Danio rerio: one gene and its partners. The protein of the gene in region 5 binds, or shares a complex with, the protein of the main gene of each other region. Links are inferred from orthologs where the notes say so. Each region holds a gene or a part of one and is shown on either strand. Other genes may lie near its edges.

Region 1 (3,981 bases), on a different chromosome or scaffold from region 5:
ATGTTCAAGTTCATCAATCCAAGTCTATACACCTATACAACCACCAGTAGACCTACACAAAGGCCTACTATTATTATTGTTGTTGTTTAACCATATGATTGAGAATAACATTATAATAGCCTACACTTATTAACCTTTATTTTACATCTACAGAACCGTGAGAAAATCGTGATCTTGATTTTAAGCAAAAAAATAAATAAAAATTGTGATTCCTATTTTAGCCAGAATTGTGAAGCCCTAAACGCGAGTCACCGGCATTGATATTTTTAGGTTGAAAAGTTTGGCAACCCCTGATTGAAATCCCACTTGTTTCATTCCAAATGCTTTTGGCTACATAATACAAAAAAAATCAGTTATGAAAAATGTTGCTAACTACACAGATAAATGAGCAGTTTTGTGTCCCTGTGACTTCAATTATAGATGAACTATTCAAAACATCTTCCTTTGTATTCATGGGGAACACTTTGCCCATTTAGGAGACTTTTTAACACAAAAAAAGCTGCTTGAGAAAATTAACTTTATTTAATTTTCATAAAACAACATGCTAGATCTCAAAGACAAATAATAAAAAAAGTAAAACCGAAAGAAAGTAAAATGCTCATAAAAATACAGTAGTAACCGGATTTGATTCATTCATTTATGAATGGGAGGAGTAGTTGAGTCTTCAAAGTGGAACCTAATTTTTTGTAAATGTCTTTTCCTCCAGTTCCTCCATATGAACCGCTTACATGATACGGTGATAAGTTTGTGTGTAAAAGCATCAACGAATACTTGAGTATGAAAATAAAGTCCTTCTTCCCCTACACGCTTTCTTCTAACAAAAAGTAAAAAAGATGATGACTTTCATATTCCGTAATTAAACCTCTGAAGCAAAGAATGATGGGAAAACAGTCCTTAGATTAGATCCATAAGAATTTCATCCTCCATGACGCTCGACACCGAAGGCATCCCTGGATTCTGTGTGACTGGACCACGTGGACCCGTCGGGACCATTAGTGGACCTGTGGGAATGTGAAATATAAATCTACAAAGTTTGGGGGGGAAATGAAATGAAGCATAAACCACAGCAAATAAATTCAATCTCTTACACAATTAACAAGGTCACAGATGTGATAAAAATAAATGGTGCTAATGATACTGTAGTGGAAATTAAGCGTTACCCTGGTGAGGCTGTCTCCACTGAGGCTGCATCTGAGCGCCCCCTCCTGGTGCTGCATGGACCATCTGCTGGATAGGATGCATCCCCTGCATGCCTTGCATACCACCCTGCTGTACATAGAGAGGCTGGCATATAAAAGCAAGTCAAACTTCATAGATCAGACTTTACATGGCTGCATCTAAATATCGCTTACTTTCCCACTATATAGTATGTCAAAGCAGTATGTGATCAAAGAAATTATTATTTTTATTTCACTCTACTCATAAAAGAGTAGGTTAAAACTGCTAAAATGACTTACTAGTTCAGTCGAGTGAATTAGGACACATTTAATACAACATGAGGCCGCAGAAGAGAATTTGTGAAAGCAGAGAAGCAATGCAACTGATTCTGCTAAATCACATGATCACAATGAAGCAGTAATTCATACTGTATAGAAATTATTTCTTTAGCAGTTGCAAAGCAGTTTCTTTTTCAATACAAGTCAAAGACTTCCATATATATGCAAATCTGAGATAAAACCCGAGCTCATGCAAACTCTGTCAACTCCCTTATGAATCCCTTACCCAAAGAGCACCAACACATTATTTAAGCTACCCCTGAGCAGTTTTTGTTTGATTTGGGATATTCATATAGCATTATTTACAAATGTTGTAAAGTTATAAAAATGTCCAAGATGCAAAAAACAAAACAAAACTTGTTTTTAATTTATTTTTTAGTTTAACTTTTCTTTTACCTTTCTTTTTTAATTTTCTTAGATACTTAGATATTTTTTGTTTTGTTTCTAGTTCAAAAATCAACAATTCTTAAATCAAGAAACATTTTATTGACAAGCAAAACATATTGTCTTGTTTTAAAAAATAATATGTCAAAATATAGTTGAACTTTGGCCAGAGGTGAAACGGTAGTGGCCAACTGAGGTTTTTTTTCCCCTTCACTTTCGTCAATTGGTGAAGTCTGTTCCACACCACTGGCATGCTTGGTTTGGGACTTGTGGAGCTGTTCATGGATGGATTTGCACTTCAGTGTTTGGAAGTTCAGCAGTGAAAATTAAACTACACTGAACTGAACTAAGCTAAACTTTAACTCTGAAAACTTGACTGACACAGTTTCAGTTTATTAGAATTTCTATGTTAAGCTGCTTAGACACAATCTATATTGCTATACAGCGCTATAGAAATAAACAGGAATTGAATTGAAAATTAAGTGAGTATATCCTTAAAACAAGCTAAATATCTGCCAACGGGTTAAGAAAAACAATATTGCCAAAACTAAAAACAAGATTATTTAGCTTGTTTTAAGCAAAATTTCACAGTTTTAAAAAATGTTTCTTAATTAAAGGATTCTGAAATATTTAGACTAGAAACAAGACAAATATATATAAGAAATGCATTTTTTGAAGTGCAATGCAGCTTACAATTGCTAAAACTAATTCTATGTACAGATACTAGTGAAACAGCTAGTGGGCTATATGCACACAGACTTTTAGTTATTAGCCAGCCAGCCTGGTCTTTTCATTACAAAATCGTTACGTTTAAGATCTGATTTCTTTACAAATAAGTGATCTTCACTGCCTGCTTGATATACGACATAAAATGGGTCATGAAGACCAGACATGAAGCACATAAAATTCCATTTTTGCCTGCCATCTCTTTAAAATATGAAATTGTATTTTACATCAATTTTTCAATGTCTTTCATCTGGCTTCATGTTTGACCAACTAAATAAATGATTAAGATTATTTAACTGATTGTATTTTAATTATATTAAGATGTTGATGCTGTAAAAGGAACCTTATAAGCTTTAAAATAGTCACATTAACCCTTCACCGGAAGTTTAGCAGTGGCTGAAAACGCTAGCTGTGCATATAGCCCATTAGTTACATGTGTTTACTGCTTACCACATCAGATCAGATTGTATACATCTTTTCCCACAAGTCAACGCCATCATATTTTCTTTTGCAGTTTAGTGTTGTTGCTTTAAATCTCTGGTTACTGTTGTTATACTTCAAAATGTGGATTAAAACCCTGGTCTCAGCTGATGTGCATACAGTGCCACAAAGAAGGGGCTTGTGAGTACCCTTCTTAAGTGGCACGCAGCCATTTTAAGTCCGCAGGACCACATTGAATTGTGCCATTTGGAATTGAGCCATAATCTCCAAAGCAGCAAGTCTATTGCATCAGAGAGAGCTGAATTATAGCAGTCTTGTGCTACAGCGCCTCACTGGCCACACCATATAATTGCAGGCCTTTAGTTTAGATCAGATGATCTCAAGATACTATTCAACAAAGCTATTCAAATTCAAACTATTCAACAAGCCGACAATTTATTTAATGTTAATGTAAAAAGAAATAGATCACCCAAAATGAACATTTACTCACTATTTACTTACCATCAAGTGATTCTATGAAAAAAAATAAAAAAATAAACAACATATTTTGATTAAAGCTGAAACCACTGACTTTCATGGTTACAGGTTTTTCAGCATCGCTTTGAAAAGTAGATGTTTGGACTAGAAACTAAAATGTAAGTAAAAAAAAACATTTTTTGCATGAATTATAAATAAATAAATACATATAATCTTTGTTACACCTCCAAACATCATAACATTTGTTCCCCAATGTTTAAACTCTATTGTAATGTACTTTTACAGGCTTTAAAAACACATGCAAATGATAAACTTTCACTGTATTATGGTTAAACTTAGCAGTGACTCAACAAACCGCATGTGTTCTGTGGCTCCTGGTCAACAATAATTTAGACTTAACATTGCATATATCATGCGATGTGACTGTTGCTTATGCGCACAATGCTGAAACGATATA
Region 2 (3,500 bases), on a different chromosome or scaffold from region 5:
AATCTGCTCATCAGCAGGACAATTTCAAATACAAAACAAACAAAAGAGGTTAGATTGAATAATTTCAAGCAAAGGTGATTCTGAATGTATGTAGCAACGACTGATATTTTCTATTGTGTAATACTGTATTAAAAAAAAAAAATAGCAATAAAGTAAAATACAAAACTCTCAAAATTAAAAAAGAAGCCCAGTAAGGACATTTTATAAGAAACTTTGGTCATAAATTTAGCTTCAGAAGTTAGAAAAAGCAGAACTTCCAGAGCGTTTAGATACAAGTACATCAGGGCCTTATAGAATAAAATAATACAAATATAAAGTATGTGTGTGAAACAAATGCCGAAAAAGAAGAGGAAAAAAGACAGAAAACACACATTTCTTACTTTATCTGCCTTGTCTTCTGGCTCCTCTTCCGTCAGGAATTCTCTTTTAGGATAAGGAATCTGGCAGCCAGCAAAGACACTAAACAAAAAACAGATTTGAATTGCTAACATCCTGCAATTTATATTCTAAAGCAACTAATTTAATCTAATGCAAAAAAAATCCCACTATTATTTTTATTAGTATTATCTCTTTTGTTTTCCATTCCTTTTTGTTTTGAATACAGCTGAACTTAAAGGTCCAGAGAAGTTCAAATCATGTTTTTTAGATGTCAGAATCAGTATGTTAGTCTTAAAGGATATGTATAAGCTATAGTGTGGTACAAAACAGTGACAAAATTTGAATTTAGAAGATACAAAATCTATATAAACATGTAGAGTTTATTTATGCCTAAATGGATCAACGTTTTTTTCCACATCACCTCATACTTCAGTTTCTCAAATCTTGATCAAATGCTTTCTACATACTTTTCATTTGATACACTTGAGCTCACTGGCAGAGCTGTGATACAAATAAAACGCAATTGGCTGTTTTTTAAAGGGAGAAGCTACTAAGTCCTGCCTGTCCTGTCTTCGTTGAGATTGTCAAACATCGAATAAAAAAACTCTGCACATTTTAAAAAGCTTCACAGGATCTTTAAAGGGTTTCTTTTTGAGTGAGAAAAATGTAAAAAATGTTTAAACATGGTCAATTTGACATTCTCAGAAATCAAGAACATTTGTATGTTCTTCTATACTCCCTAAACTCACTATACAGCGTTTAAAAGCAAAACATTTTTTGGTTTAATCGGTTATTTGTTTTCCAGAAAACAACGTATGTAAAGTCTACATGCATTTCACTTGCAGAAAAGCTGTTGATAATTGCTGGTCACAGCAGAAGTGTCAACATCACTCACTCAGATGTGGGTAAAGGCTCCTCCAGGAAGTACGGGTCCTGCATGGCCTGCTCAGATGTGATTCTGCGGATTGGGTCCATGGTAAGCAGCTTTTGCAGCTGAGAGGGTGTACAGAGGTTAATATCTGCATGAGAAAATATGAGGATAAAAGATTTGCTTTTCTTTTGATCTGCTTACCAAGTGGAATGCTTTGCTGTCAGGCTTGACTTTATGCTTCTCCATATACTTTATAAGGCTGCAGTTAGTGTACCTACAGCAGACAAACACTGTCATACCAAATTTGTCACTCAATGAGACAACTTAATAAAAAAAGAAGCTCAAACTAACGTATTCCTCCTAAAGTCTTTCATCAGTGTCGAGTGTTCCGGCATCTTCTTAATGTCCTCCCAGTCTTTGTCTGAGAAGAAAATTAGATAACAGATTTTAGCACATTTACCGACATCAGATGACTTGAACTGTAAATAAATGGTTTAATTTAATGCTCTAATCAGCAAAGAATATGCAGAACACTAGAGCTGCACGATATCAGAAAAAAATCAGACATTGTGATTTTTTGTATTTCTATGATCTACAGTTTTATGCAAACCTTTGGCCACCTCTGATCATTTTTATAATTGCAAGCCATAGCCTGCTGGCCTTTCAAATCAGCAATTTCATAAAGAAATATTTTATACCCTAAGAAAAAGCAACATTTTAGTTCTGACATAAGATTTATTTAAATCAACAGATGCAATGCAATTCAAGTCTTGTGCAAAAAAAGTGCAAAAATGTGGGCACCCCAACAGAATAATGACATCAATCTTTTGTACAGCCACCTTTTGCTAAAATAACAGCCAATAGACACTTCTTGTAGTCAAGGATCCCTGAAGTCTTGCTGAAGGCATTTTTGACTGCAAATGTCCAGTTCAGTTAGGTTTGATGGGTGCCGAGCGTGCCACGGCCCTTTTCAAATCAATCCATAGATTTTCTGTGATGTTCAAGTCTGAGGATTGGGATGGCCATTCTAGATCATTGTATCATGTCTGAGCATGAATTTCTTGGTAGATCTGAAACTGTTTTGGGTCATTTCTGAACATTGTTCTTCTCAATCTGCGTATACTGGGTGGAATCCATGTGACCTTAAACTGACAAGTTTTCCAGCACCTGTGCTTGCCACAAATCTGCCAAGCATGATGGACCGTCCACCATATTTTACAGTAGGCAGCAGGTTCTTCTCCTGGAATGCTGTGTTGTTTTTCCATCATGCAAAGCATCTATAGTTGTGGCATCTGTCTACAGTATATTTTTCCAAAATGATTCAGGCTTGTCCAGATCAGACTTTGCATACCTCAAACGCCTCTTCTGCATCTCCTATGCATTGAGCTTTTCAATGTGAAGAGAAAGCTGGACTGTGGAATGATGTACAATGATATTATCAGCAGCAAGATGTTCCTGGAGCTCTTTGGAGGTGGTCTGCTGTTTGTCTGTGACCATTCTAACCATAATTCACCTTTGCCTTTCAGATAATTTTCTTTATTTAGCACATCTGTCCTTCACCAGAACTGTTCCTGTGGCCTTCAAATTTCTTACGAATTAATAAAGGGACTAAGCCGAAATGAAAATAAATGAATGAATGAATTAGTACAATCTGGCAACAATCTTTCATTTATTTTACCCAGAATATTAAATTAAAAATTACATTTTAATTTAATTACATTCATCCAGTCATATTAAGTCATTAAAGAAATCTGTAGTGTAATAGGAATAGTTAAATTACATCCTAAATGTTCTTTTATTTAAATGCTCTATTTTCTTTTTGTAGTCCCACACACACAAATTTTTTTTATTAAATACATTTTATTTCTGATCCTGTATGATTTTAAGTTAACAATAATGACCCATTTGTCAATGCAATTCTGTTTATTTGTTTTCATCAATCCTAAAAAACAATCAGTATTGCATTCAGAACTGTTAGATTCTATTTGTTTTGACAAGATTATTTTTCTTCAGAAAGGCTGCCCCCTACTGGGATTTTTAACAATCCATTTATTTTTAAATGAATGACCTAGACCTGAATGAAAAGTAGATGCAGAATACCTGCAGGAAAGCCCATGACATTAAAGATGCGGTCGAGCTGATCGTGATGGTAGGGATTACTGGTCTTAATGTCCTCCTGTCGACAATGGAAGATGGGCTCTGAGGTCAAAAGCTCAGCAAAGATACAGCCAATTGCCCAGATATCTGTGAA
Region 3 (3,939 bases), on a different chromosome or scaffold from region 5:
GTTGTAGTGATGTTCTCTTTTCCCTGAAATCATATGAAATATTTCATTGATTTGATATTTTTAATAAAATATTGCATTGAATTATTTAGAATGCTTAAATCTTTTCTGTTCAGTATCACACAGCACTAATGGTAAGCGACCTACAATTTGGCACCATATTGTCTGTTTTTGCTTTATATTGACAAATAAAATAATATAACTTTATAGTTTAGGTTATGTAAACTGCAGATTTATGGAACAAAATCAAAGTATTGTTAAAAAAAACAAAAACAAAAAAAAAACGTATTGAATAGCACAAACTGAAACAAATAATATATTAAATTAACAACTGCTTGCATTTTAATGACTTGGATTGCCAGAGTTTGTAATTTTAGGTCTTGAAATTTAACACAGCTGTTTATTTAAGCTGTAAATATTTCAATTAAAAATTTTTCAAACACGTTTTTATACTTGAAAATTCTTATACTTATTTTATACTTAAAAATAATAATTCTTAATTTCCGGATTTCATGTATAATATTCAAAAGACAATTTTCAACTCACTTTATTTCAGTTCAAAAGTTCTCTTCCATTAATTTAGTGGATCAAATTCGGCTGTTAAAATTTAACAAGGACAATATTAAATGCTACTTTTGTGCTGTTATTAGCTTTTTCCCTTAAAAAGGGAGTTTTTAAACCTTTATTTAATGGTTTAAAAATCTTAAATTGGTCCACCTGCTAGTGAAAAAGCAGCTGGAGATTGCCAATCTGCAATCTATTGCTGTTCCTGCAGTTCCCGGAAGTAATGTCGAATTTTAAGAGCCAAATTTAAACCACTGAATTTTTGGAAGCAAAATTTTAAACTGAAAAGTAAACAAACTGAAAGTTAAATTTTGAACATTATGCTTCATATTTTTCACCAGTATTATATATTTAAAAATTGAACTTTTAATATATATATGAAATCTGGAAATTGAATATGAATTGTTGAAATTTTAAGTATAAAAACATGTTTAAAATATTTTTAGTTGAAATATTCACAGCTTAAATAAACAGCCGTGTTAAAATTCAGGCCCTAAAAATACAAACTCTTGCAATTCAAGTCATTAAAATGCAAGCAGTTGCTTATTCAATGCATTATTTTTTTTCAGTTAATGCTAATCAACAAACTTTTTATTTCAATACTTTTGCCATTAATTTTGTTCCATACAGATTAGGCACACATACTAAACTTGTAATTCAATTTACATTTTTAAATACAACTATATACAGCTAAATTATTAGACCACCTGTAAAATTCTTAATTCCTTTTCAAATATTTTCCCAAGTCATGTTTAGCAAAACAAATATTTATATTTCTATTCTAAACTATTACGTTTTAACTTATATAGAATGTCTCATTTCTTTATTCTGGTGGCATTAAAAGAATAAATTTCTTAAAACGTTACGGTCGATATTTTTCACCCCCTTAAGAACTTCTTATATTCGACTGTCTACAAAACAAACAACTGCTGTCAAATGACCAGCCTAATTGAGCTAGTCAATTTTTTAAACAGGACTTTAAGCTGAATAATAGTATTTTACAAAATAACTAGTAAACTAATAAATAATTAATAATACTAACTAATAAATAACTAATAATAAATAACTAATAAATATTATGCACTAGAACTACACGATATTGAACAAATTTTATATCCTTCTTTCTTTCTTTCTTTCATGCTTTTATTAGAAGCACTCATCATCCAAAGAAGAAATGTTTGACAAATTAACAATCTATTTCAACAAGAACAACATGTTACTTACTTTAGAAATTTAGCATATTCTGGTTCCTTCCAATAAAGCAGATACTTTAAATAATTGACGAAAGGCTTCTCTCTCAGGTAACCTCTCTGAGCCAGAACTGCAGGATGGGGGGAAAAAATTAAGATTAATAATCATTATCCATCTTCATATTTCGACCACAGTAACAAAATTACCTTGAATTTACAGAATGTAACAACCAATGAGTGAATTTGACCAATGACTAAAGTAATGACTGAATTTAGCGAACAGTAAAAAAGAAACAAGAGTTAACGTTGTTCTTACAGTTCAGGTAGTTTGGGTTTGCCAGACATTGAACAAACTCCAGCTCCAGCTGAAAGCGCTGTCTCGCCTGCTCGTCTGTCAAAGCACAAATAGAAGCGTAAGCAATGTTTGTGTTTGAAAAGAAATAATACAAATAATCATTAGTAAATGTATTCATGAACTACCAACGAACAATACTTGTATTAGTGCATAATTAAAATGCAAGTTCATGCTTGACATTAGTTGATGCACCGTAAGTTGAGATTACTTTATTTCATTAATACTTTTAACAAAGACGAACAAACACTGTAATAAATATAACGATTCTTGTTTGTTCATGTTAGCAAACATTGGCTAACGACGATACTACCTTAATGTTAAGTGTTACAGAAATTGCTTGAACAACATATATCTGCGCCAGTACAGAAAATAACACATAGTGTAGTACCTCTAAAACGTTGTATAACTTAATATGATCAAAACGAAACTAAAATACGTTACCAAACAATTGTATTTACGTTAACTGTCACATTGCTAGGAATCTCGTGGGCAAAGATGTGCTAAATAACAATTCAATCTAATTTTAACAAACCTGTTTCCATAACACCAGCCATTACGGACAACGAGAATTCAGACGACGCTGAAATATCTGGAAAATGATTAGTATAAAAAGATTTTTTAGAGCGCGATTACCAAAAACAACACATTACTCATTGTTTATGCGGACATAGACCGCTGACGCCATTTTTGCCATAAAACCAGTGCTGCTGTCGTAAAAGTGTTTCACGACATTTGCACCTTTTTTTTAAATAATAAAGAATGAAAACTTACAACCACAATCAGGAGATCAATATAAGAGAGATACAAAATAGGAACAATACAAACTACATTTGTAAGGGGTAAGTAAATTACACTTGTATAAAATTGTATAAAAATAAATTAATTAAGAGCTATTTAACTCAAATCAGAGTCAACAGTTCTTCATGTAGAGCCAAGTATCTGACACATTTTTTGTTGTTGTTACACGTACGCAAAGATTTGAGCAGGAGTCAACTTTAATGAGAAAATGTCGAAAAGTAGGGACTGAAACAATGCATATTTGTATAAAATATTTCCAAACAAGATAAAAAGTTGAAAACAAATTCTTCAGATTTATTCTGAGTAATAACAAACACTTTATTTTAAACTAAAATATTGTGCAAAGGTAGGAGGAGTGTTTAATAACGATAAAGGTCAAACCAAAATTTCTGAACAAATTCACACATACAAAATAATTGTATTAAAGTTTCATCATCCTCACCACAAAATGTACAACTACTCGGAATATCAAAATGTTTAGAAACAAATAAGTAAGCCGAATAAAGTTCAGGCAATATTTTAAAAAAGTATTTATGAGGCATTTGCACCTTTTTTTTTCGTAGTAATATTTGTAGCCTACAAAATACATTTTGTGACTTGGAATATAAGAAAAAAAAATCTATTTTCCATGATAATTTGGTTAAAAAGGTGTTCTATTGGTCTCACAGCTTAAAAGATGAAGGATATTTACTGACTTATAGGCTACTGAATTTTTTTGAGAAGTTTAGTTCCTGTGCCTCCACAAGGCCTGGCGGGGCTTTTGCAGAGTTACAGTGAACCAAATAAACTAACAGTTAAAAATGAGATTTAATTACATGGTGTTGATTTCAAAGATAGAAAATGTAATAATAAATTTTGTAGACGCTTGATTTATTATCTTGCCACTTTTAGACACAAATACTTTTGGAATAATCTGAGAATATCTATTGGAACTTGATCTGGACTTATAACAACAAGTATTGTGTCACTAATAAAGTGAAATTATACATAAAATATATCCAACCAACCAATTTCTCAAAAGATGATCAAAAGTTG
Region 4 (3,500 bases), on a different chromosome or scaffold from region 5:
CTTGTACTTGAGTACAAATTAAGCTGAGTAATCTACTTCGTTACTTTTATAATCACAATTCGTTACAGAGTACTGTCAATAAATTAATATTTCAGCCACGCACTGACCAGCATTTCGGTAGCCAATAAAAAAAGCTGATCTTAACGGACCAATGAAAAGCCTGGTACATTATTTGAACCGAAAAACAAGTTCAGGCTACTGCAGATTTACGTGACCGTCATCATACAATCACAAAGTTATCAATTGACATATGGAGATGTAAGACAGAAGAAATGAGGAAGAAATAGCAGAGGATGAATGCATGGCCACACCCGGAGGAGCTGTTCACCTACGGAGTGCAGAAACTCTTGACAATTCTGGAGGTCATTATTAATATAATATAATACTGAAATGGTTGAGGCGGTTTAGAATGACCAAAACAACACTTTAGATGTTTTACAATGTGCTTAGCCTGCTGGTTTGTCCATTCACACACATTTTCAAAATATATGCGCATTATAGCGTTTCCATCTACCGTTTTATGTGCATATCCAAAAAGCGCAAAAATAAGTGGATGAAACCTGCCCTCGGCTGTGCCATCCGGCTTACACAGGGTTTCTGTGGGGTCTTAAAATGTCTAAAATATAAACATCTAAATTTTAGCCCTTAAAAAGTCTTAAATTCGCTGTTCTAGATCTGAAATATGTTTGCACATGTCTTATTTTTCCGATGTACATGTAACGCTACTTCTAATGCTCATTTAATATAATTTTTTGTTGTTGCTTGGTTTCGTGGTGGTGTAGTTCTTTATTTCACTAGTCCTATTGTAATTTGCAGTATTAAAACTACAAATAAGCCCAGCATGCAATAGCTCAGTGCGCGCGGCGAATGTGACGTCATCGCCGTGTTTGCGGAGGTTCACTTTGGATGCGCGCGACATGATTTCGGGTGAACAGTTCGCGCGGCGCCGTGCTAGATTTGAGTTGAATTTGAATCACTTTGAAGAGATTTTGTTTGTAACAGTACGACTGTACAGACATCTTAACTATCCGACCATGCGTGGACAAAGAGATAACCAGATGACCGATAATTCTTGGCTAGAAATTGCAACAGCCATGGAAAGGAAGTGTTTTGTTAAAGTTTGGAAAAACCTGGGGGATAAGTTTGTTACAACAAAAAAGAGGCCATGGCAAAAGTGGAGACCCAGGTGGTTTTAAGATTACAGAATATGTTTTTCCACCATTTATAGGTTTTACACTGATGGATCATTTTGAAGTTAAAGCAATGTAACAAAAATTAAGGAACAAATTAAGTATTTGATAACTGGAAAATAATATATGAACCCATCAGCTTACAGTATACTGAAGCCCAATTTCTAGGCTTTATTGGTGATGATGGACAGGATTGTTGGACCATTATTGCCTTTTCAGCTCATTAGTAGAGGACAGAAACTAGCCAGACAATAATGTGTCAATTGTTGAGTGGGCAAAAAAAAAATTTTTTTTTGCTATTATTCTTGCCAGAATAAAAAAATAATAATTGTAGAGTAACCCATGTTCTGTTGTCATTGATATTTAACTTTAACAGGTAGAACTGTCCGTGATATAAACAAAAGTGAGTGATGCATCAAACTTTGATTTAAAAAATCTTGAAAAGATTTCATTCATTACAATCATTCATTAATTTTCTTTTTGGCTTAGTTCCTTTATTAATCTGGGGTCGCCACAGCGGAATGAACCGCCAATTTATCCCGCATATGTTTTACACAGCGGATGCCCTTCCAGCTGCAACCCGTTCTCATTTACAACAACAGACAATTTAGCTTACCTAATTCACCTAAAATGCATGTGTTTGGACTGTGGGGAAAACCGGAGCATCTTGAGCAAACCCATGCAAACACGGGGAGAACATGCAAACTCCACACAGAAATGCCAAATGACCCTGCCAAGGCTTGAACCAGCGACCTTTTTGCCTTGAGTCGAGAGCGCTACCCACTGCCCCACCCCGTCACCCAACTTTGTAATCATAATAAATTATAAAAATAATGAAAAATAATTATTTTTAAAATCTTGAACAATATTAAAGATATGACGTAGTCTTAAAAAGTCTTACATTTGACATTACGATATCTGCAGAAACCCTTTTTTTTTTTACAAGACTTCAGTCTATAATCTGAAAAAAAACATTATGGTAAGAAGACATAACTTAATTTGTGTGATATTTAATTTATTAATAATATGTTTAGGCACTAGGCAGTGTTGTTTTGTGGTTTCTGACGGTTCAGTTGGCGAATTAGGTAATTAACAAAGTTTCTCCATAATTTGCAAGTGTTTATTTTTTATATATTAAATCATCTATTGATCGTACAGATAAAAGAGGCATCATTTGAAATGATAAGAAGTCGTGCATTTGTGCATATTTCTGTTATCTTTATACTCAAAATAGCAAAACATTGTTTTTGTAAAATAATCATGGTGCGCAGTGGGTATCGCTATCGCCTCAAAGCAAACAGTTTGTTGGTTGAAGCCCTGTCTGAGTCAGTTGGTGTTTCTGTGTGGAGTTTGCATGTTCTCCCCATGTTGGCATGGGTTTCCTCTATAGGTGCTATATAATTATAATCTATAATTAATGCTGTTTACACAGTTTAAAAAGTGTTTATAGTATCTTTAGATGTGTTATGTAAAATGTGTTTTACTGCCTAAATCTTGTCTGACTCCGGATTTATGGATAATTCCACCAATACCGCCAAGCTAAAAAAGTAATTTGTAATTTTGTAATTTGAGTAGTTTTTACGAAGAGTAATTTGTACTTTTACTTGAGTACTTTTTAACACCAGTACTTTTACTTGTAATTGAGTACAATTTCAGCAATGTAACAGTACTTGTAATTGAGTACAATTTTTTTGTACTCTTACCACCACTGTTTAAAAGACACGAGAAGCAAGTGTAATGGTCAAATATGTCTGTCTAGCATGTCTTAACATTAAAAAAGCAATACAAAAGTAGAGGGTTGGAGAAGAAAAATGCATTCTGTGTAAAAGGCCTCAGATCATCAGTAAAGATCATCACAGCTGAGCTCACCTGGTTGGGAAGGTTGGCCAGCAGGTACAGAACAAAGTCTCCGACCCACTGAATAAGCTGCTGAAGGGACTGGAGGGGTGGTCCATCCAGAACAAACTCCTCTGTCTTCAGGTTGATCATCACCTTATCAATGTCTGAACACATATTAACAGATTAAAAGATGTGCTTAGTGTCAAAACAACAATAAATGTGTGTGGATAGGAGAATGCAAAGATTCATTCTATGTAGGTCTGTCATAATTATTAATTTGGTGATAGGGCTGTGCGATTTGGGGAAAATACCATACTACACTTTTTTTTTTTAAAGATATTACAATTTTGATGATTCAATTTTGTAGTCAAACTTCAGCTCAATAATCTTTATAGTAGCTTCTAATTGCTAAAATGCATTTAGAGTTATTTAAAAAAAGGAACTTAAAAGATACTAACTTATATTAGCAAA
Region 5 (3,500 bases):
ACACTGCCCTGGAGGGCCGGTGTCCTGGAGAGTTTAGCTCCAACCCTAATCAAACACACCTGAACAAGCTAATCAAGCTCTTACTAGGTATACTAGAAACTTCCAGGCAAGAATGTTGAAGCAAGTTGGAGCTTAAGTCAGCAGGACACCAGCCCTCCAGGTCCAACTTTGGAAACCCCTGTTCTAGGCGTTTAAAATGTTGTCAGAAAAAAGTCAAAATTGAGTGAGTTTTTCCTTAATGCTAGCAAAATAATCTGCCTAATAATCAGGGGTGAGTAAAAAAAATTTTTTTTGGTTTGCAATAAGATTGTTTTATGTACCCCATTGGCAGATTATTTTGCTTGTTTTAAGAAAAAACTCACTTAATTTTGACAACTTTTTTCTGAAAACAAAACAATATTTTTACTTGTCTAATGTCTTGATATAAGAATATTAAGATATTTTGACTAAAAACAACACAAAAAACTAAATAAAAAAGCATATTTTTGCAGTGTGCTGAATAATCATTCTATATATAGTCAGATATACATATTCTATATGCAGTATATAGTCAGACTGTAATGTAATGTGATGTATTTTTTATTTACGGAAATAAACCATAGCAACAGCAACCAAGGCTATTTTCATGGCAAGAACATTTCAATAATAAATAAACAATTTAAAACAACAAACAAATAAAAACACAAGTTAAGTAAGATATTTTTGTGTTAATAATACATGATAAGAATTCTGGTTTCACTTTGCTAAAAATGTCCTTAAGAGAGTTCATTTCATTAAAAAAGTCTTCTGGAATTATTAAAAGCAGGACAGTCCAGTGAAATGTGTGGGGAGTTGTGCAGAACAAACATTGAGTGGGGTCTTCATCTTTAAGTGAAAAGGCGTGAGTTAATCTTGTATGTCCAACACAACATCTAGTAAAAATCACTCGATCAAATAGTCTTAAAATTCTGTTTGACATTTCAGGTTGTATTTCATGTAATTTATTAATTTCCAATGCATTCCACTCCTCTTGCCACTTATTTAAAATGTAGATGTTGATAAAAAGGTATAGTCAGACTGAAACGCCTCAATAATAAGAGCTTCAAAAAAATGTTCAACATCAGAAAATTTGTCTAACAATAATTTCGGTTTGTTTTTCACCAAACCTTATCATATGTCTACAGAATAATTGCAATACATGGCATTTGTTACATGGAATTATTCTTTGATATGTTTGCATTTTTATTCATATATTAACATTATTCTTATATTTACACACCCTCAAACCTTTATAAACCTTTGTGTTTATAAAGGCTGCTGAACACAAAACAACATACTTTTTGAATGTTTGAAACAGTTGACCACTGACTTCCATAGTAGGAAAAAAGTCAATGGTTACCACATTCCAACATTTTTCAAAACATCTTCTTTTGTGTTCAAAGGAAAAAAAGAAATTCAAACAGGTTTGCAACGAGTGAAGATTGGCAGAATGTTCTGTTTTGGGTGAACTACCTCCTTAAGTGTGATTGTGATTTAACTACCATTACACAGGCATGCATGAGCATCAAGAAGTTCTCATGCAAAAAGGAATGAACAGTATAGGGCATTAAAAAAACAACAAAGAGATAGACGATTGGGCGAACAATCCCTTTAACCAGCATATAAAAGAAGTAGAGGTTTCTACTGAATCCACACACACTCCTCACCAAGCCAGCGGCAGCAGCATGTCCTCCTGCCCCATGTCCTGCACATACTGCAATAGCGGCCTGTACGGATGATACACGATCAGACAGCAGTCCTGAAACAAAACCAAACCAAACATCCATCAACAAACGCTGAAAACACAACTTCAAGACAACCTCAAGAATCCATCAATACCAACCATGAGCTCCAGCAAGTAGAATTCACACTCCAGGATCTAGCGAGATAAAGGCATAAGTTCACTGTGAAATCATGGCGTTAGCATGTTATGCGCACTAATTGGCATTTTCCCCCCTTTACTAAATGGAGACCGCAATGTTTCCTTTACACCACCTGACTAGTGCTGTGCTGAATAAACAACACTGCTAGTAATCATATGGCACTTATCACCAGCCCGAGACATGAACGGCCAAAACCAGAAGTCATCTATCAGGATAATGAGACTTTCCTACGAAGGTGTTGCGAGTGTGAGGAATTTCACTCCTGAACGGGTGTCAGAAACACTGCATCATCAGCACACACACACTCAAACTCTCGACTAGTGTTTCCATCATATGAATCAGACAAGTTACAAGAAATTATTATCTGGATGTATAGTGATGCTGTCAGATTTCCAAAATCTCCTAGTGAAGTCATGCTCTCGGGAAAGACTCTCACATGACGGTCTCATCATGTTTTCTGATGTAGTGAAACAAAGACGTTTGACTCACGTGGTTCATTCTGAAGGGAAACTCCTTTGGGAAGGCATAAGAGAACCTTGTTTTCACTATTAAAAAAAGAAAAGTCTGAGAAATACATATATATTACAAAAGTGACTATTGAGGAAGACATTAAACTGTTTTTTTAGTATAATCGGGATATGCTTATATTTTGTTTTCATTTTAGTTTTTTCATGATTACATTTTTAAACACGTCTATATAGTGTTTTGTTAGTTGTTTTTATATATCAAATTAAACTAAATTAAATTTAGTAATAGCAACAATTCCTTGGCTATTAGATCAAATAAATTACAATATAATATAGATTTTCTTATTTGAATATATTGTGCAACTTCATATAATGTATATATAAAAAGTGTTTGTATATGTATATACAGTTGAAGTCTGAATTATTAGCCCTCCTTTGATTATTATTATTTTTTTAAATATGTCCCAAACGATGTTTAACAGAGCAAGAAAATTTTTACAGCATGTTTGATAATATTTTCTCTTCTGGAGAAAGTCTTATTTGTTTTATTTTGGGGAGAATAAAAGCAGTTTTTGATTTTTTTAAACACCATTTTAAGGACTAAATTATTAGCCCCTTTAAGCTATATTTTTTCGATTGTCAACAGAACAAACCATCGTCATACAATAACTTGCCTAATTACTCTAACCTGCCTAGTAAACCTAGTTAAGCCTTTAAATGTCACTTAAAGCTGTACAGAAGTGTCTTAGAAATTAGTTATTAAAACTTTTATGATTAGAAACGTGTTGAAAAAAATTGTTAATCAGAAAATGGGGGAAAAACTAAACAGGGGGGGGGGGGGGGGGGGGGGCTAATAATTCTGACTTCAACTGTATAAAGAGTTCAGATGAAAAAACTTCAGTGACGTCTGAAATTTTCCTCTAAAAGTTGTGTTTTTCTCAGCCTCCAATATTTATGATCAGTTACTCCACTTTAAAGGCAATGCAAATAACCTATTATTTGCCATAAGAGTAAAATTACTGAAGTGACACACAAAAGCCTGAGGAAAAATGCTAATTTTAGATGAAAATCTCAGATGGGACTTTTCTCTCTTTATATACAAAAAAATAACTTATTATAAAATATACAAGTA
Region 6 (3,967 bases), on a different chromosome or scaffold from region 5:
AAAGAGGCCAGTGGCACTTGTAAATCTCAGTTTATATGTGTTTTCCATCAGATTTTTATTTTCACTCTCCGTCTTTTAATCCTGAAGTCTTCTGAAATGGCAATAATTATTTTTTAACATTAATAGATATACATAATTCATATCAAATTCACATTGTTTAGATTACTAGAATGGACACTTTATTTTTCTCCCAGTTAAACAGCCACTTAATGAGTGAGTTTTAGCTACTTGTAGCGTTCAGAAAAAACGAAATACCCATGAAGATACTCGACACAGAGGAACATAACCTACTGCCAGCAAGTGTACGGAAGTGTTATTGCAGAGCAACACAAACAGCATGTATACAGTAGTATAAATGCACGACTACCCGCAAGGCAGGCACCGTGGATCACTGCGATCACGCAGAAGTATAAATCAGCCATTTTAAAAGGGATTTTTGCACAATTGGTCCCCTTTTAAACAAGATGTAGACAGCATATTTTCTAAAGCAATCTAAATGTGTTCTTTGAGCTTCATCTTTATAGTGTTGGTTTGTGTTGCAGCTTCCTGAGCAGTACAGACTGATGCACATACAGCCACCAAAGAAGAAGAGCAAACACAAACACAGACATCATCACCCTCAGGATCCTCTACCGCTAGGTCACTTCAAAAGCTCATGGATTTTCACATTTTATTTCCTCTGTGCACCACATGCATGTTAACTTCCTTTCCCTGTGCAGAAACCCGCACTGACCCCACCAAGAAGAAGAAAAAGAAAGATAATGAACCTGAACGCAGGAAGAAAAAGAAAGACAAGAAGAAAAAAAAGGTGAGCCACTTTGTTGATGCGGCGCAGAATCTTACAAATTTACAATAATTAAAAAGTGTATTGTTGAACAAGGTTGAATGCTACAGGATGTTCCTGTATAAATAATAATGCGTTATTAAAATTTTAAAAATGTATACACATAGGAAGCAGCTTTGCTTTGGTGTAACATCTGAGCAGCCTTGAACAATGCTCTTTATAATTATTTATCATTTTTGCTTCACACAAATATTATTTCAACAGTAAACTGTGTTTATTTTACATTTAAAAGGATGTGTAAGCTTAATGAATGCGCCCTCTTTTACATGAATATTTTACACTAATATAGTTGTGCATATATACTTTAGATTAGTCAGTACTAAAGCTAAGACTGGAACTGATCTAACAAAAAGACTTAACATCACGGTCTAAAAATGAGACCAGCCAAATTAATTAAAGGTGCAGTAGGTGATTGTCTACAGAAACATTTTTTGATGTGCAGGTTGAAAGTCTCTTCACATTCCTATAGTAATGATTAAATTAAATGATCTAAATGTATTTACATGTATTTTTGTATTCTGGGTAAGTCATAAGACTAAAAAATGTTAATTCCCATAATTCTGATAAGTAGCCCAAACTGTCTGTCAACAAATGTAGACTTGTACATCTGCGCTGCTATTCGTGCAAATCTGCCGTTTGTGTGTGCACGTGCGTTCACGTGCACATGAGAGAGAGCGCGACCAGTAAAAACAAATGCTGAAACAAAACTTTATAATCCTGAATCAATATTGAAGTTAGTTTTTATGCTGGAGGAAGAACGAGACCATGGCTGAAGTATTTCTTTTAGACAGGTCATGTTCTGTTTTAAAACTATTAAGTCACACAAAGCTGATGTAGATTCTGTTGTTTCACGGATGTGTTATATGCACGAAAGTGTAATTCCTGCACCCGCCAGCCAACCACTAAGCATACAGTAGTGGCTTTAGGACAAAACGTGGGAGAGAGTGAGACCAACGATCCTTGTATGGATGAAATATTGCACATTATGACAAGTTTTGCTTGCTACACGACTGAAAACATGCTGGATATAATACAGTATTTTGTACTTTACAGTAATAAAGTATTGTAAAGTTTTTCAACTGGCGAATGACAAGAGTTAGTGGGCTGTCTACTGTCATCTTTGCAGTGCGTGTTTGTGATTTCAGGAGGCGTGGCTTTGAAAAATAGGGGTGGGACTGTTTTCTAAGATATTATGCTAACCGGTTAGCATTTTGGCAGATCACCTACTGCACCTTTAATGAGAAACTTTTTGTACAAATTTTCTGTCTCTCTATTCCTGAATGCGTTAGGCGATTTAATTTAATTTGAATAAATATAACAGTTTGATACAACACCAAAATATATTGACGATTCACAGAGAAATTGATTAAAAAAAATAGGAATTTTCCAAAAGGGTTGCAACTCATTTATGCTTTAAACCGTATGCATGTGTGTGTGATTTAATTTTTTTTCTTAAATTTATTTGAATAAAATCATTGTTTTTATCTTTTACTAAAACTAAATAAATTTTCAAACTTACTTTAGACATCTTGCTTCTCAATAAATGTGTCTTGATTTAAGTAACTGATAAGTTATTCACAATAGGAAACAAGACAGTATTTTGCAGTATAACATTTTATAAATAATATTAAAATATAACACATTAGGGCTGCACAACATATTGTTTCAGCATCAATATCACAATGTGATCATTCGCTATAGTCACATCGCACATTTGCATGTGTTTTTGATGCCGCTGATTGTATAAATGATTTTAAAAACATTCAGCTATATGAAATTGTACCATTTGTGACTTTAACAACAATTAATTTTTAATTATTTTTTATTTTTATCATTCAAGTTTTACTTGAATACTGTTAGACTCACACTTTATTTGTATTAAAACACTTTATTTGTATCTTTTTCTTGATTGTATTTATAGATTGTTGTGCATGAAAATACTCGCAACACATGCAAATACAGAAATGCACTGCAAATAGCACAGACCACAATGAAAATGTGCCAGAGGACCCCAAAAATGTTAAAAATAGTAATTATAAGAATCTAATTTTATAAATTATTTCCAAATAGAGACAGTCATCTGGTGAAATTTTATTCATATTGTAAAATATATTGCAGAGATATATTTTTTCCAATATTGCGCATCCCTATAACACAATATTAAATGCTCAATGTTAGTGGCATTCAAAATCAAATCGATGGTCTGCACAGTGTAGAATATGTCCCTAGAATCTACTTGATACCTTAATTATGTTGTAGAATAATTACTTGTTTATTGCTGGGACCTGTCACATTTAAAGTACACCCCATTTAGTCTTGTTAATGCATTTAAAAGGTCTTGGTCTGTTCCCTCTTTTCTTTTAGAATCGACACAGTCCTGATCATCCTGGTGTTACTGGATCTCAACCCAACAGCAACAGCCTGAGATAGAACAGTTGTGTGTGTGCGAGTGTGCTTGTTTGTATGTATGTTTGCACACATGAAGTGATGTTGAACTGTGTTAGAGAATCTGATATGGACCAGTGCGGTTGATTGATGTTTACAAGGGCCAATTGTTGATGATTTTTGACTTCTTTTTCTGGTTATGATGAAAAGCTCAAGGAATAAACTTTGTTATTCTTTATACAGTCTTTAAACACACTCTTTCTTTTTTGTTCACAATAACAGATCATAAAGTGTGCCAAGAAAATATCCCCCACACCATTACACCATCACTAGCCTGAAGTTGTTGATGCCACATTCTGACCATACCATTCGAATGTCACAGCAGAAATCGAGGTTCATCAGACCAGGCATAGTTTTTTCCAGTCTTCTATTTTCCATTTTGGTGAGCCTGTGCCAATTGTAGCCTCAGTTTCCTTTTCTTAGCTGACAGGAGTGGCACCCGGTGTGGTCTTCTGATGCTGTAGCCCATTCGACTCAAGGTTGGATGTGTTGTGCGTTCAGAGATGCTCTTCTGCATACCTCGGTTGTAATGAGTGGTTATTTGAGTTACTGTTGCCTTTCTTCCATCAGTTAGAAGAACCAGTCTGGCCATTCTCCTATGACCTCTGGCATCAACAAGACCACAAAACTGCCACTCACTAAATATTTTCTCTGTAAACCCTAGAGATGGTTGTGCAT
Region 7 (3,925 bases), about 4.1 Mb from region 5:
GCAAAGAAACAGCAACATGACAGCAACAGCAAGTTAGAAGGCTTAAAGAGAATGTCTGTTTCTAATGTATTGGAAGCAGATATTTACGTAGGAACAACACAACAACAAAATGAAGTGATGTTTAACACAATTTGCCGTCAGTTTAACAAGTCAACCACCTTTTATTAATAGATTTTGAACTGCAAAAAACCTGCACATTTTCCATACTGCTCTTTTTGTTTGCATAACACTTTGAATTTTGCTCATTATTTATTAAAGCATCTTTAAGTATTGAAATTCGAGATTCACAGACATTGTTTTTGACACATTATTTAAAATATGTGGCTAAAAATAGCTATCATCTTAGCTTTTTTTTCTCTTCTTTTTTTATTTTTGGTGGGGTCAGTAAAAAATTTGGCAGGGCAAGTAAAAATCTGAACCACTGGCCCGATCGGACCAGTAGAAAAAATCCATAGCGTTAAACCCTGAACAGGTCAAAGTTAAAAATAAAAACAAGCATGTCATACAATATATTTTTATTTGTTAAACATAACTTCTTTCAAAACAAGAGTATCAGCATAATGCTGGTGAGGGAAAAAAACAACATTTAATTTACAAAACATACCCAGAAGCTGACTATTAATGGTAGTAACACGCTGATGAACATTACACAAGGTAAAAAACAGAGGTCGCACAATAAAGACATGCGATGGGAAATCAGCTTTCTTTAGTCCAGAAACCGATGTGAAACAGTGAGTCTCCTGCAGTCGATGTAGGATGCGTATAAAATCCCTGCTGTGTCCCGACACTATAGTTCATGTTGTGGTTTTTTTCTGTCAGGATTCTGGAGGTGTTTGCTGACTCGGGGCTCCGCTGCGGGTGCGGAGCTGTGATTGGGCGATGTCTGCTAGTGCCGTCTGGATCTTCTCCAGCAGGGCGTCTCCTCTGTAAACCACTTCCTCCAGACGCGCTGCAGCTTCCTGGTTCTCCTCTTCCAGCTGTCGCAGACTGGCGGCCTAAGAAACGCATCAGAAATGACAACAAGTAGAGACGAGGTATAATGCTAATGTATTGTTGTTCACTCTGTACTTGGACAACATGGGTAGCACAGAGCCAGATGTGCAATATATGTGGCATGGGATGAGCAATTAACAGTAATCAAGTTTGTAATATGATTAATATCTAGCTAATTGGTCATTTGTGTATTATTGTCATGGTATATTTCAGTGTTTCTCAAATCCATTTCTGGGCTCCTACTGCTCTGTACATTCAGTGCAGCTTCTGGAGCTTTCTTCTAGCAAGATGATATTTATAATCAGGTCCATTATGTAGGCATAACTCAAAATGTGCAAAGCAGTGGCTCTCCAGAAATGGATATGAGATGCACAGGTTAAGCTGAGATTCATTTTTAATGCAACAATATAATTTACAGTTGATTTTCTTCTCTTTGAGTGCCAGAACTCAAAACCTGAAGTGCAGAACAACCATATTTTAAACAGCAGAAGGCTCAATAATTATATAATGATTCAATAATAATAATGTGGTGTTGGCCAGTGATACAGTGTGTGTGTGTATATAATAAATGTACCTGCAAGGCTGCAGTGGATTCTTCACTGGGCAGAGAGTCGATCAGCACATCAACATCTTTTGCTGTTCTTGCTATCAGCGCTGCAAACAGCTGAGCATATTCTAGAAAAAACACATCTTAGTATGTCAACTTCAAAACACATTATTTTCAAAGTGGATCACATTCAGATCAGTGCAGATGAGAGCACCTTCTGTGGGGTTTGAGGGCTGGTCTTTATTGATGGCCGTCTGGATGTTGCTGAAGGAGGCCGGTGGTGCGCACTGCTGCAGAACTCCAATCGCATTACAGAACTGATCCGCCAGCTGAAACACGACATGCAGTAAATCAGACATGCAGGACAATCCACTGTTACTTTCAGTTTACATGTTCTTTGACATGATGAGAAGTATTAGTACTCAGTGCTAAGATTGTGAATTATGTAATATATGAATAAACACAATTACATGTAATGTTTGATTAAACAACATTAATTTAAAACAATTTAAAAATAATTAATATTGCACTTTGAAGAACACAAAAAAAGAAATATTTAAGTGTACTTCACCAATATATAAGTAACAATAGCACTTACAGAAATGTATGTATATATTATATGTTATATTATAATTATATAACGGTGCCTTTTATATACACTTACTTAGATTATAATAGGACTATTATTTTCAGTTTCGTTTTATTTATAACAAGTAAAACATTTATTACAGTATCAAAACACATATGACAACAAACTTCACCTGTTCATTTGTTCACAAATTGCACGCTATGCTAACACTTCAGACGCTACAGTACATCAACATGACTTCTTAAGCAAATAATCCAATTTAATGAACCAGACTATTAAGTAAATCTGTTCGGAAGACATTTGCTGTGTTCTGCAGTTTCTGAAGTATAAAATAAACGTTAAATGAGTCTTACGGAGTTCACAGCATCCTGAAGCTGCGTTAGCCTGTCGGCCATGTTGGCTCCTCTTCACAGTTTCCGTTTCCGCCGAGCGCGTTCAATGCTACATCACGTGATACAGCGCAGCGTACAGCGAAAGCGCTCGTCTACTGAAAAGTTGTTGCATTTTCGCGCAAAGCAGGAGTGCTTGACACTTCCGGAGGCTGGATGTGAAGCTTCAACATGACTGCCGAATGTAAATGCTTCTGCTAAAGCGTGTTTATGGACTGGACTGATCCGGGAAAATGCCACTGAAGAGAGAATGTTTGGTTCTGCTCGTCTTGTCGTGGGTCGGTTCACTGCGCGCTCAGGATGAGAGTGAGTAACGTTAAACCCCTAATACCTTCTTTATTACGCTTGATAAAATATATAATCCCTATATAACGCACATATGTGGCAAATAACAGTTGTTTAAAGTGTGACTCAGCTCATTTAGCGACATATGAATCGAAATCAATCATGTCAACTATGTATTTCTAATCAATTAGTGATTGATATGATGTTGCAACTGATCTAAAGTTCACCGTTACGCTAAATAAACACAAACATCCCAAAATATCTTACTTATCACGCTTAATTAATTATATAATCCCTTTTAAACGCACACATGTGACAAATAATTCGTGTTTGTAGAGTGAATCAGCTGCCGACATATCAATCTGAAATAATAATCCTAAGAATGAAATGCTGATCAATTAGTGATCGATTCGTGTACTGATTTAAGGTCAATATATCAATCTGAAATAACCCTATTATTGTTACCACATAATAGCTAACATAGAGGTAACGTTGCTTTTATAGTCGCACATTCGTTTATTTAGCAGTCTCTGTATTGTTTACCATGTTAACGTTAACGTTACTTTGAATATTCGATAGACATTAGCAGGCAAGGATGACTTCAAAACAACATCGACAATGATTTCCCTATTTAGAATTTGTAAACATTACTTTTCTGAAATTACCTTATTGAGGAGAAAGTCTGAATATGTGAATATAAAACAGACTTTACCTCTATATAGCTAACTATTATTGTTCTAGTGTATTTGGGTTTTATGACTGCTTGTACTGTTTATAAACTGGACTACATTGATATTTATGAGGTGATGATTGCTGATAATGTAAATACACACACACACACACACACACACACACACACACACACACACACACACACACACACACACATACATACATACATGCATATATATGTGTGTGTGTGTATGTATATATGTGTTTGTGTGTGTGTGTGTGTATGTATATGTATATATATATATATATATATATGTATATATATATATATATATATATATATATATATATATTATAATTTAACACTTTAGTGAATCTTAGACAATGCATAAAATAATTAAATACATAAGTGACTGATTTATTTATTTGTTTAATTTTTCATACACAAGA

What was found.
Region 1: ccnc (region 5) and med25 share a complex: the UniProt entries of both Homo sapiens proteins name them as parts of the mediator complex. The link is inferred for Danio rerio from reciprocal best matches to the Homo sapiens genes CCNC and MED25.
Region 2: the proteins of ccnc (region 5) and cdk8 are in contact, whole or in part, in a crystal structure (PDB 5CEI), measured with the Homo sapiens proteins. The link is inferred for Danio rerio from reciprocal best matches to the Homo sapiens genes CCNC and CDK8. Residues at the interface, in NP_005181.2 of Homo sapiens: Met1, Ala2, Gly3, Asn4, Ser8, Ser9, His10, Gln13, Phe72, Tyr76, Lys79, Ser80, Ile81, Asp82, Leu85, Leu93, Lys96, Val97, Glu98, Glu99, Phe100, Gly101, Val102, Tyr130, His134, Leu136, Glu137, Glu139, Phe140, Tyr141; in NP_001251.1 of Homo sapiens: Met1, Asp2, Tyr3, Asp4, Phe5, Lys6, Leu9, Arg13, Gly58, Ile59, Ser60, Met61, Cys64, Arg65, Ile67, Ala68, Leu69, Arg71, Glu72, Leu73, Val84, Leu86, Ser87, His88, Arg91, Lys92, Val93, Asn145, Trp146, Val147.
Region 3: ccnc (region 5) and med31 share a complex: the UniProt entries of both Homo sapiens proteins name them as parts of the mediator complex. The link is inferred for Danio rerio from reciprocal best matches to the Homo sapiens genes CCNC and MED31.
Region 4: ccnc (region 5) and med16 share a complex: the UniProt entries of both Homo sapiens proteins name them as parts of the mediator complex. The link is inferred for Danio rerio from reciprocal best matches to the Homo sapiens genes CCNC and MED16.
Region 6: ccnc (region 5) and med19a share a complex: the UniProt entries of both Homo sapiens proteins name them as parts of the mediator complex. The link is inferred for Danio rerio from reciprocal best matches to the Homo sapiens genes CCNC and MED19.
Region 7: ccnc (region 5) and med21 share a complex: the UniProt entries of both Homo sapiens proteins name them as parts of the mediator complex. The link is inferred for Danio rerio from reciprocal best matches to the Homo sapiens genes CCNC and MED21.

Annotation. Positions count from the first base shown.
Region 1 is NC_133178.1:29,240,529-29,244,509, forward strand, and holds the end of med25 (mediator of RNA polymerase II transcription subunit 25), read right to left. Parts: intron 1,270-3,981; coding exon 1,161-1,269; intron 1,002-1,160; coding exon 895-1,001; 3' UTR 501-894; downstream 1-500. UniProt on the Homo sapiens protein: Component of the Mediator complex, a coactivator involved in the regulated transcription of nearly all RNA polymerase II-dependent genes.
Region 2 is NC_133199.1:25,411,879-25,415,378, reverse strand, and holds part of cdk8 (cyclin-dependent kinase 8), read right to left. Parts: intron 3,494-3,500; coding exon 3,350-3,493; intron 1,671-3,349; coding exon 1,601-1,670; intron 1,524-1,600; coding exon 1,451-1,523; intron 1,372-1,450; coding exon 1,274-1,371; intron 460-1,273; coding exon 381-459; coding exon of another isoform or gene 372-380; intron 1-371.
Region 3 is NC_133196.1:43,308,451-43,312,389, forward strand, and holds the start of med31 (mediator of RNA polymerase II transcription subunit 31), read right to left. Parts: upstream 2,801-3,939; 5' UTR 2,661-2,800; coding exon 2,639-2,660; intron 2,143-2,638; coding exon 2,068-2,142; intron 1,883-2,067; coding exon 1,786-1,882; intron 1-1,785. UniProt on the Homo sapiens protein: Component of the Mediator complex, a coactivator involved in the regulated transcription of nearly all RNA polymerase II-dependent genes.
Region 4 is NC_133186.1:14,629,193-14,632,692, reverse strand, and holds part of med16 (mediator of RNA polymerase II transcription subunit 16), read right to left. Parts: intron 3,194-3,500; coding exon 3,060-3,193; exon of another isoform or gene 2,897-3,059; intron 1-2,896. UniProt on the Homo sapiens protein: Component of the Mediator complex, a coactivator involved in the regulated transcription of nearly all RNA polymerase II-dependent genes.
Region 5 is NC_133179.1:6,192,111-6,195,610, forward strand, and holds part of ccnc (cyclin-C), read right to left. Parts: intron 2,447-3,500; coding exon 2,391-2,446; intron 1,898-2,390; coding exon 1,862-1,897; intron 1,778-1,861; coding exon 1,686-1,777; intron 1-1,685. UniProt on the Homo sapiens protein: Component of the Mediator complex, a coactivator involved in regulated gene transcription of nearly all RNA polymerase II-dependent genes.
Region 6 is NC_133189.1:26,390,927-26,394,893, reverse strand, and holds the end of med19a (mediator of RNA polymerase II transcription subunit 19-A), read left to right. Parts: intron 1-542; coding exon 543-639; intron 640-719; coding exon 720-808; intron 809-3,208; coding exon 3,209-3,274; 3' UTR 3,275-3,467; downstream 3,468-3,967. UniProt on the Homo sapiens protein: Component of the Mediator complex, a coactivator involved in the regulated transcription of nearly all RNA polymerase II-dependent genes.
Region 7 is NC_133179.1:2,082,969-2,086,893, reverse strand, and holds med21 (mediator of RNA polymerase II transcription subunit 21), read right to left. Parts: upstream 2,570-3,925; 5' UTR 2,525-2,569; coding exon 2,483-2,524; intron 1,870-2,482; coding exon 1,755-1,869; intron 1,669-1,754; coding exon 1,568-1,668; intron 996-1,567; coding exon 816-995; 3' UTR 501-815; downstream 1-500. UniProt on the Homo sapiens protein: Component of the Mediator complex, a coactivator involved in the regulated transcription of nearly all RNA polymerase II-dependent genes.